Tribolium castaneum: one gene and its partner. Each later gene encodes a partner of the first gene's protein in a complex. Links are inferred from orthologs where the notes say so. Each region holds a gene or a part of one and is shown on either strand. Other genes may lie near its edges.

Evidence for each region. The genes of interacting proteins can lie anywhere in the genome.
Region 2: the proteins of Orc2 (region 1) and Orc5 are in contact, whole or in part, in a cryo-EM structure (PDB 7JPO), measured with the Homo sapiens proteins. The link is inferred for Tribolium castaneum from reciprocal best matches to the Homo sapiens genes ORC2 and ORC5. Residues at the interface, in NP_006181.1 of Homo sapiens: Val240, Glu241, Tyr243, Phe244, Glu245, Ser248, Asp396, Gln398, Arg401, Gly402, Glu403, His426, Asn428, Ala429, Pro430, Leu431, Met432, Trp433, Asp434, His435, Gln438, Trp445; in NP_002544.1 of Homo sapiens: Asp324, Lys325, Phe328, Leu329, Leu359, Asp360, Arg361, Ala364, Tyr367, Ser368, Ala378, Asn379, Phe381, Ser382, Gln383, Thr385, Ser386, Thr389, Asp400, Gln401, Leu402, Asp403, Tyr407.

Annotation. Positions count from the first base shown.
Region 1 is NC_087397.1:6,382,138-6,385,838, forward strand, and holds Orc2 (origin recognition complex subunit 2), read left to right. Parts: upstream 1-1,319; 5' UTR 1,320-1,470; coding exon 1,471-1,477; intron 1,478-1,533; coding exon 1,534-1,719; intron 1,720-1,766; coding exon 1,767-2,645; intron 2,646-2,693; coding exon 2,694-2,927; intron 2,928-2,972; coding exon 2,973-3,172; 3' UTR 3,173-3,201; downstream 3,202-3,701. Other genes in the region: uncharacterized protein LOC655336, read left to right, coding at 336-868. UniProt on the Homo sapiens protein: Component of the origin recognition complex (ORC) that binds origins of replication. DNA-binding is ATP-dependent. The specific DNA sequences that define origins of replication have not been identified yet.
Region 2 is NC_087395.1:23,971,378-23,975,322, forward strand, and holds the start of Orc5 (origin recognition complex subunit 5), read left to right. Parts: upstream 1-1,145; 5' UTR 1,146-1,278; intron 1,279-1,541; exon of another isoform or gene 1,542-1,710; intron 1,711-2,283; exon of another isoform or gene 2,284-2,399; coding exon of another isoform or gene 2,400-2,456; intron 2,457-2,513; coding exon of another isoform or gene 2,514-3,022; intron 3,023-3,075; coding exon of another isoform or gene 3,076-3,472; intron 3,473-3,520; coding exon of another isoform or gene 3,521-3,553; exon of another isoform or gene 3,554-3,559; intron 3,560-3,620; exon of another isoform or gene 3,621-3,756; intron 3,757-3,857; exon of another isoform or gene 3,858-3,931; coding exon of another isoform or gene 3,932-3,945. Other genes in the region: NCK-interacting protein with SH3 domain, read right to left, coding at 1-814, 866-890; annexin B9, read right to left, coding at 2,400-2,456, 2,514-3,022, 3,076-3,472, 3,521-3,553; annexin B9-like, read right to left, coding at 3,932-3,945. UniProt on the Homo sapiens protein: Component of the origin recognition complex (ORC) that binds origins of replication. DNA-binding is ATP-dependent. The specific DNA sequences that define origins of replication have not been identified yet.

The DNA of each region.
Region 1 (3,701 bases):
ATTTTCAAATGTTGACTGAATTTTTTATCGCACTATTTGCTTCAAAATCGCGATAAATGTTTTACGTAACGCTGTTTACTACGTCCCAACTCTTTGTGTTTTTAACCACACTTCATTGTTAATTTTGCACCACGTGTCCACAATAAATAATTCCAAGTGAATTCTTTGTTTTCCTTTCGTTAATATGTGGCCACCCGGTATTGAAACTTATCTAACGCAAACAAGTCTAAATCCAGTTCATTGTTGAATGGCCGTCCGCGCGCACCATGGAGCCCCTCCCCTTGACCGGTAACGCCATTCCCTTGGTGGTAACAGCCCCATATGGTCTTTTCCAGATAGTACCACGGCCCAACAGGTCCGCTTCCCCTCCGCCACCAAGACCAAGTCCAGTGGCGTGGACGACGGTTTCAAAGGCGAGGCCGCGAAATGCGGCACTTCTGTGGTGCGAGTGGCCCACCAGATGGTGTTAGGGAAAGCCATCCGTGGCTTTGACATCCAGAAAAAAGATTGTGATTTGCCCCCAGAGGGTTTCAACCCTTCGTTACGTCGAGGGAGCAAGTCGTTGCCCGCGTCGCCCCTGACGTCCCCCAACTCGTCCCCGAAAAGCACGCGACGCGTGAACAAATACTTCACGGGGCCTTTTGTCGACTCCGAACACCAGGGCAGTTGGATTTTGTCGAATTTGTTGGCCAAGAGGCAGAATTTGTCACAGAGTATGGGCTTTATCGCTGAAGAGGAGAAGGAGATGAAGAGGACAGAGTCGAATTTGAGTGTGGATGAGGTGTCGAATGGCAAGAGGAGTCAGGTGTTTGTACCCAAACCGTCAGAACTTAGGGAAATGAATTTTTGGTCTCCCACTTCCATGTGAAGTGGGCACATTTAATGTTGTCTAAGCAATATCTTTAATTTTTAGTTGGTTTCTTTTAGACATTGATTATTTTTGTAACTGTAATCATAATGCTCATTAAATTTATTTAAGTACACCAAAATCGTGTTTTAATGCCGCAAGATCGACCTCAAAGTCGCTAGTTATTTTAGAACACCCGTGGGTGGTATAAATAGAATTTGTTCTACGACTCGGGTTTTGGCGGGGTTACTTCCAAAAAACGTTTCCATGAGGTAATTAGGGGGCCACATGCTCGGAATAAAAAGCCAAAAAAAAAATATATAAATTCACACCAATATGATAACTTGACCGAGACTATCCAAATAATAGCAATTGTTAGTTGGTAAAGATTACTAGCATAGTAAATTATGCTGAAATTTCGTCCAAACGTTGCTTTTTACTCTACATACAGCTTTCCAAAAAATTTTAAAAATGACTAAATGTCAAGTGTATAATTGGTTGCATAGTCACTTTGTTTTAATTTTAAGTTTGGAGGGCGCCAAACGTTTTAATATCGAAATATTAGCAACAATTTGCACTAAACTTTAATTATAATTGCTGCTTAAGGTTACTAGTGGTCTGAAATGGCAGGTTTGTACCAATTTCTCTCTTATTTGACCTGAGAACCCACCTAACCTCAATTTTAGACGACTGTGCAGACCCTGAGTTATTTTCGCCCCGCAGGGGTTCCCGGCAACGCAATTTGAGTCTAAAAGCTAAAGAATACGTATCTACTTCCAGTAGGAGGAAACGTGGCTTTAAAAAACTGAATATTTCTACAGCAACTGAGTCTGAGGACGATTCCAATTGTGAGAGTAGTGAAAAACCAACAGGTGGACCATTTGCCTGTTGTATAACTTCCTTCATGAGTTTTTTGTAGTTTTGCACGATAATGACCATGTCCCTGGTGATAAATTATTCACGTTTCAAACGCGCAAAAAGTGCGAAGTCGTTCAACAAACGCCGCACGCTTTTAGGGACAAAATGAGGAAAAATATCGTGGCGAAAATTTTGGAAGAGAATGGTTCGAGCGGAGATGATTTTTCAGCCAGTGAGAGTGAATTCGAAGTGTCTGAGGAAAATTCAGAGGAGTCTTCCAGCAGTGACGACACACCGCCTCCCCCGCAAAACAAAAATATTAAACCCACTTTAGGAGCGAGAAAAGTCAATTACACTATAAAAACAGACGATTATTTCGCACAACACGCCAGTAAAAAAACTCTAACGTCCAATCACACTTTAGATAAGTTGGAGACACCAAGACTGCCGCAAGACCAACTGCATAAACTTTTGTCGAGAGTTAGCCTAGGGTGTGAGCATGAAAAAGCCACGAAAAAATTAATCGAGACGAATTGCGCCTATTTTGATAAGTGGATGTATTTGATGCATGAAAATTTCAATATTTTGTTGTATGGGTTGGGCTCAAAGAAGGGCGTTTTGAATGCTTTTCACGAAAAGTGTTTGAAGAAGTTGCCAACGGTTGTCGTGAACGGATTTTTCCCTTCATTATCAATTAAAGATGTCCTTGACGGGATTATTTTAAATTTACTAGAACTGAAGGAAAATCCCTCAAATATTTACGAGGCCTGCGACCTTATCGAGCGCGAATTTAGTTTTATTCCCGAAACTCATTTATACCTCATTGTGCACAACATCGACATGATGCGGAGTGGAAAAGCCCAAAGTGTCTTTGCAAGACTCGCGTCAGTCAATAACATTCATCTAATCGCGTCAATTGACCACATAAATGCCCCCCTAAGTAATGAAAAATTCTAGTAGTGCGCAAAAACTTTGATTGTTGTTTTAGTTTGGGACCATTCCAAAATAAGTAAATTCAATTTCACGTGGTGGGACGTTACCACTTTCCAACGCTATATTGACGAAACGTCCTTCGAAAGCTCAATGTTGGTCCAAAGGACCGGAAACCTGGCCTTATCATCGCTTCGGAACGTTTTCTTATCACTGACGAGCAACTCCAAAGGAATTTACTTAATCCTCGTCAAGTATCAAATCGAAAATGGCAAAAAACAATACTATCAAGGTGATTTATCAGTTTGTGCGTTCAAAACTGATTGATTTGTTGCAGGCCTGGCGTTTAAAGACTTGTACTCTTTGTGCCGCGAGGCATTTTTGGTGAGTTCGGACCTGGCATTGCGGGCCCAACTCACCGAATTCGTGGACCACAAAATGGTGAAGTTCAAGAGAGCGCCAGACGGGACTGAGTATTTGATAATCCCGATTGCAAACGCGTTATTACAGCAATTTTTAAATGAACATTCCGGTTGATTGTATTTTCCAATAAAAATTTAAGTTGGCGCTCGCGTTTGAATCACCTGCTGCCATCTTCGTGGAAGACAGTCGAACTAAAAAACAAGATGGTTTCGCAGTGCTGAATTTTATTTGAGTCAAAAAATCGAATTTTTCGCTTGGTTCAGACGATCATTGTTCGAATTGTACGCAAAAATGTTATTGTGTGTCGTTTCGATATGTCGCCGCCGTGAAGGCGCATGAATGCGTGGTGAATTCCTGGGTGAGTATCATATGTTTATTTTTGAAGGTTATCTTTTGTTGGTGCTTCCACTTTTCGGGTCGTTGGGACACGCGAGGGGGCCGAAATGGCCCCAATGTGGCTGCTCGTAACTGTGCCGAAAGCCGGCCGAGGCGGTGTGAGAATGACCGGAAATTGTGGCAATTTGTAAATAAAAACAAACAATCCGTTTTATCTCTCGGTGTGAACTTTCCAAGGTTAAACCGTCTGCGTGCACGGGGGTGGCAGCCAGTGCGAGGCTTTAGCCCCCCGCGTTATTAATTGACT
Region 2 (3,945 bases), on another chromosome or scaffold:
GTGAGCTCATTAAAGATGATCTTAAGTCGACTAGCATCGTGCGTTTGGTCAATTTGGACGTCATCCACATTGAGCGATTTTTGTACTTGTGACAGAATCGTGCTTAAGTATGGAAACACCGACGCTGGCAGCAGCTCGTGCAGCCCCTGAACGACCGTAACCACAGCCACCCGCGACATTTCGTAAGACAACTGCGTATTAATCCTCACACTCTCAACCAGCTCGTAGACGGACTGGTCTGTGATTGCGGGCGAGGGCAGCTCTGCCTTTTTCACGTCGTTGCAACACTCGGAAATCACCTCCTCGTGAATGTTTTCGATGGACTTCCTCACGCGTTCTTTGTTCGCTTTCACAGGCTTGATGGGCTCCTCAATGTCGTTTTTTAGTTCGGTTAGGAGCGAAGACTGCGAGCTCATGCTCTCAAACCGCCCCATATCCGAGTTTTTGTAATGTAACGTCTTGAGGTCGTCCCCGTGACCCCCGACCTCGGGCAGCTCCTCGATCTCCTTCTTCACTTCTTTCAAGCGCAGGATGATTTCGTGGCGGTCGGTGAGGTTCTCCACCGGCGCGCGCTTCTTCAGGTTCTCGAGACAGTTGTCGACGAACTGGAGGTAAAACGAGGGGTTCACAGTGACAGTCTCGACGTAGTTCGAGGGGATGAACCCCATTTCCCCAGCTTCGTTTATCACTTCCCACCAGTTTTTGTGCTTGGTGTTGCTTTGGTGCAGGATGAAGTATTCGTTGGTGCGAAAACTGAGGGTTTTTGCGTACGTTGCTTTGAAGTCGTAGAGACTGTGGAGCATGTCGAGGGTGCCTGATTTATTAATGGGGTGGCGATTGAAAAAGAGGCGCTTTAAGGGCTCACCTGTTAAAACTATCTTCTGTGACATGGTGGTGTTACGTAAAAGCGGCCAAAGTGAAAGTAATAATTGGATTAATTATTGTTTTGACAAATAAATGTGTCACGCCTCTTTTTTGTTTATGTTGTTGGATCGTGCTCGCTCGTGCACTAGCCGCAGGACCCGATCCGTCAAATTCAAATTTATTTTTTTAATTCACGTTTACTTATACAAATTGTTACCAAAACCAACCCCCTCGTCTCACACAAATATCGAAAATTGTACCTTGGGTTCATTGTACGTTGTATTTCTGTGAAATCAAATCCATTTGGTGAAACTTTTTACGGGTGGCGACATTGAGTTTCAAGGTTTTCGTCAAATTTGATTCTTGTGCCTGTTTGTACGAAAAAACTGTTTGTTTTGAATTGACAGCAGTTGGGTAAGTGGAATTTATCTTATTTTACCTAACGCTATTCTCGACTAGTTATTTACTTGCTGACAAGTGGACAAAAAATCAACATTGTGTTTTTTAAGGTTAGGTAATAGGCGCTCAAACCGGCAATATATAATTTTATTCAATAAAAAAATTGGGGGCATGATAGAATTTAGCATGATTTTAGCTGTTTGGCTGGAATAATTTGCCGATTTAAATGGTTTTATATTTTAGTTGAGTGAATTTTTTGAACAAATCAAGTGGTTGTGTATCGCTGGTGGCGCCGTCCACCGGCGTAAAAATTCAAGTAGCGTTTTCCCAAATTTTTCATTTTGCGTTTTGTGCCTTTCGTGACGGTTTAAAACATTAAAGTTTGGCTCTCGTGCAAGTTTAAAGTGTTTTGTGCTTCGAGAATTATTTGTTTCGGAAGTTGGAAAGGTTTGTGTTTTATAAATACGAAACATTTTGCCCATTTACAAGGCGGCTTTGTGTACTGTTTTTACCAGCGAAAAAACTGCGTAAAAGTTGGTTATTGTTGGAAAAGTCGATAAATGCGTGTAAAATCCAAGTTATTTGCTTTGGAAATGTATAAACTGGGAATGTTAGGTCTAGGGTCAGTTTTTAAAAAGTGAATTCGCTGGTAAAAGTTAATTCCCAATTAGTTCGTCAATCAAAGCATTTGATTGGTTCAGTTTGACCACGTGATCTGACTTTTGTTTACAGAAAGCAAAATTAAGATTTAATTCAGAATTAAACCAAGTTTTTTTTAAATATCACTCGATTTTTAAGCTATCTAAGCTATCAATACAGTTTTATTTTTACTCCATTTCATAAAAGGATTTATTTTCACCAAAATGCTTATCATAGTATTTCCCACTTACTGCAAGCGGAAAGATTTTTAGTATTTCGTGTAACAGGTTTTATGTTATCACTGTTATCAGTGGGTCACCTGAAGTGAATGATTCATGCGGAAATAAAGGTGTAGATGTTGGAAAAAAATAACCAAATGAATAAAATTTAATAAAATTTTATTGATAATAATGTAAAATCTAATAATAGTAATAATAATAATAATACAGTGAATAAATAGAATATTAAAAAATGGCAACACTCAACTGGCCCCACAATTACTTTTCGCCGATAAGAGCTAGAAGGCATTTTCTATAATCGCCGGATGTATCGCCCTATAACGCCCAATTTTACAAATTAATTTAATCATTCCTAGAATTAAATTGTCATACCTTAATAGCCTCAGCCAAAGTCTTCCCGTACTCTTTTTGATATTCATTTTTAATTTCCCCCATGTCAATTTCACTCCTGGTCACAACCACTCTTATCAAATCTCGATCATTAGTTCCCAAGCCTTTCATACTCTTATGCAATTTTTTGGCAAAAAATTTTGCTTTATTTTGAACTGTCTCCACAATTGCCAATAAACCGTCTTTAATATCACCGGAGAATTCACTCTTAATTGCTTGCTCGATCCCGTGACCAGTCAATTTTTCATACTCTGCGAAAATAAGCCGAAGTTGAGGATAACTTCTCTCGGTTAGAATTTTAGTAAAAGTGGATTCGTCAGTCCCCCATTGGTTTTCCCCAGCATTGTATAGATTTTCAGCCTCGGAAACTGCCTCGGTTTTATCGGTCGCGGCACACTCGTCACGTTGAACACCGCAGAGGGCTACCAAAAGTTGTTTAAAGTAGCCACTGGTGTCCCCTTTTATGTCACCTTCGAGGCTTTTGTGAAACACTAGAAAAAATAGTACGAAAAAGTGATATTTTTCCAATAACTAAACGAGTTACGTTTGTGATAAGCATGTCTGATGGTCATAATTTCTGCGTTATTCAAAGTACATAAAACTTCAATTAGGACATCTTCGTCGGTTCCTAACCCGCTAATAGCCCTGTGTAATTCCTCAGCGTACAATTCTTCACGTGGTGTCATTAGGGCCAAAATTAGTTGTTTCAAGTCGCCGCTTAATTCTTTTTTAAGCTCGGAGATTAAATTGTTATTGTGGTGTTTATTAAATTGAGACATTATTTCTAAACGTTGGGCTAAGGACCGTTTCGTGATAATGTTAACGATGGCTTTTTCGTCAGTTCCGGGCCCTGTCATTGCTTTGTGTAAAACTTCGGCATCTTCACTTGAGAGGAAAAATTTCGAAGGTGTTACTGTTGGAGATGTGGCAATTTGGGAGTGCTGGGTAATAAAGATATTAACTAGTTTTTTATCTACTCCTTAACATACCTTTGGTATTTTGGAACATCCGAAGTGATTCATTTTGGGCTAAATAGTTTTATATTAATATTGAATTTTTTTTAATGATGTGTTCATTAACTGCACTTACTTGAAAATTTGTTGACTCGAAATTGGGACAAGTTGTTGCAAGTGGAAACCTTAGAAGACTGAGTGAAGCTAAACATTAGAATCAATAAAACGGCTTATCGGAATGATTATTTTTGCTTCCTTATGCACAATGTTTGGAAGGGGGCTAAGTCAATCGCCGATTAACAAAGCAGTTTTCACAGAATGGGTACGGCGGTAATTTTTGTGATAAATGAATTTCGGGAAATAAATACAAAACCAAAATATGATTCATTTATTTACACAAATATTAATACATGAATAAGGATATCAAAAGAAGATTTTCGTTCCAAATTACGCTTCCCCAA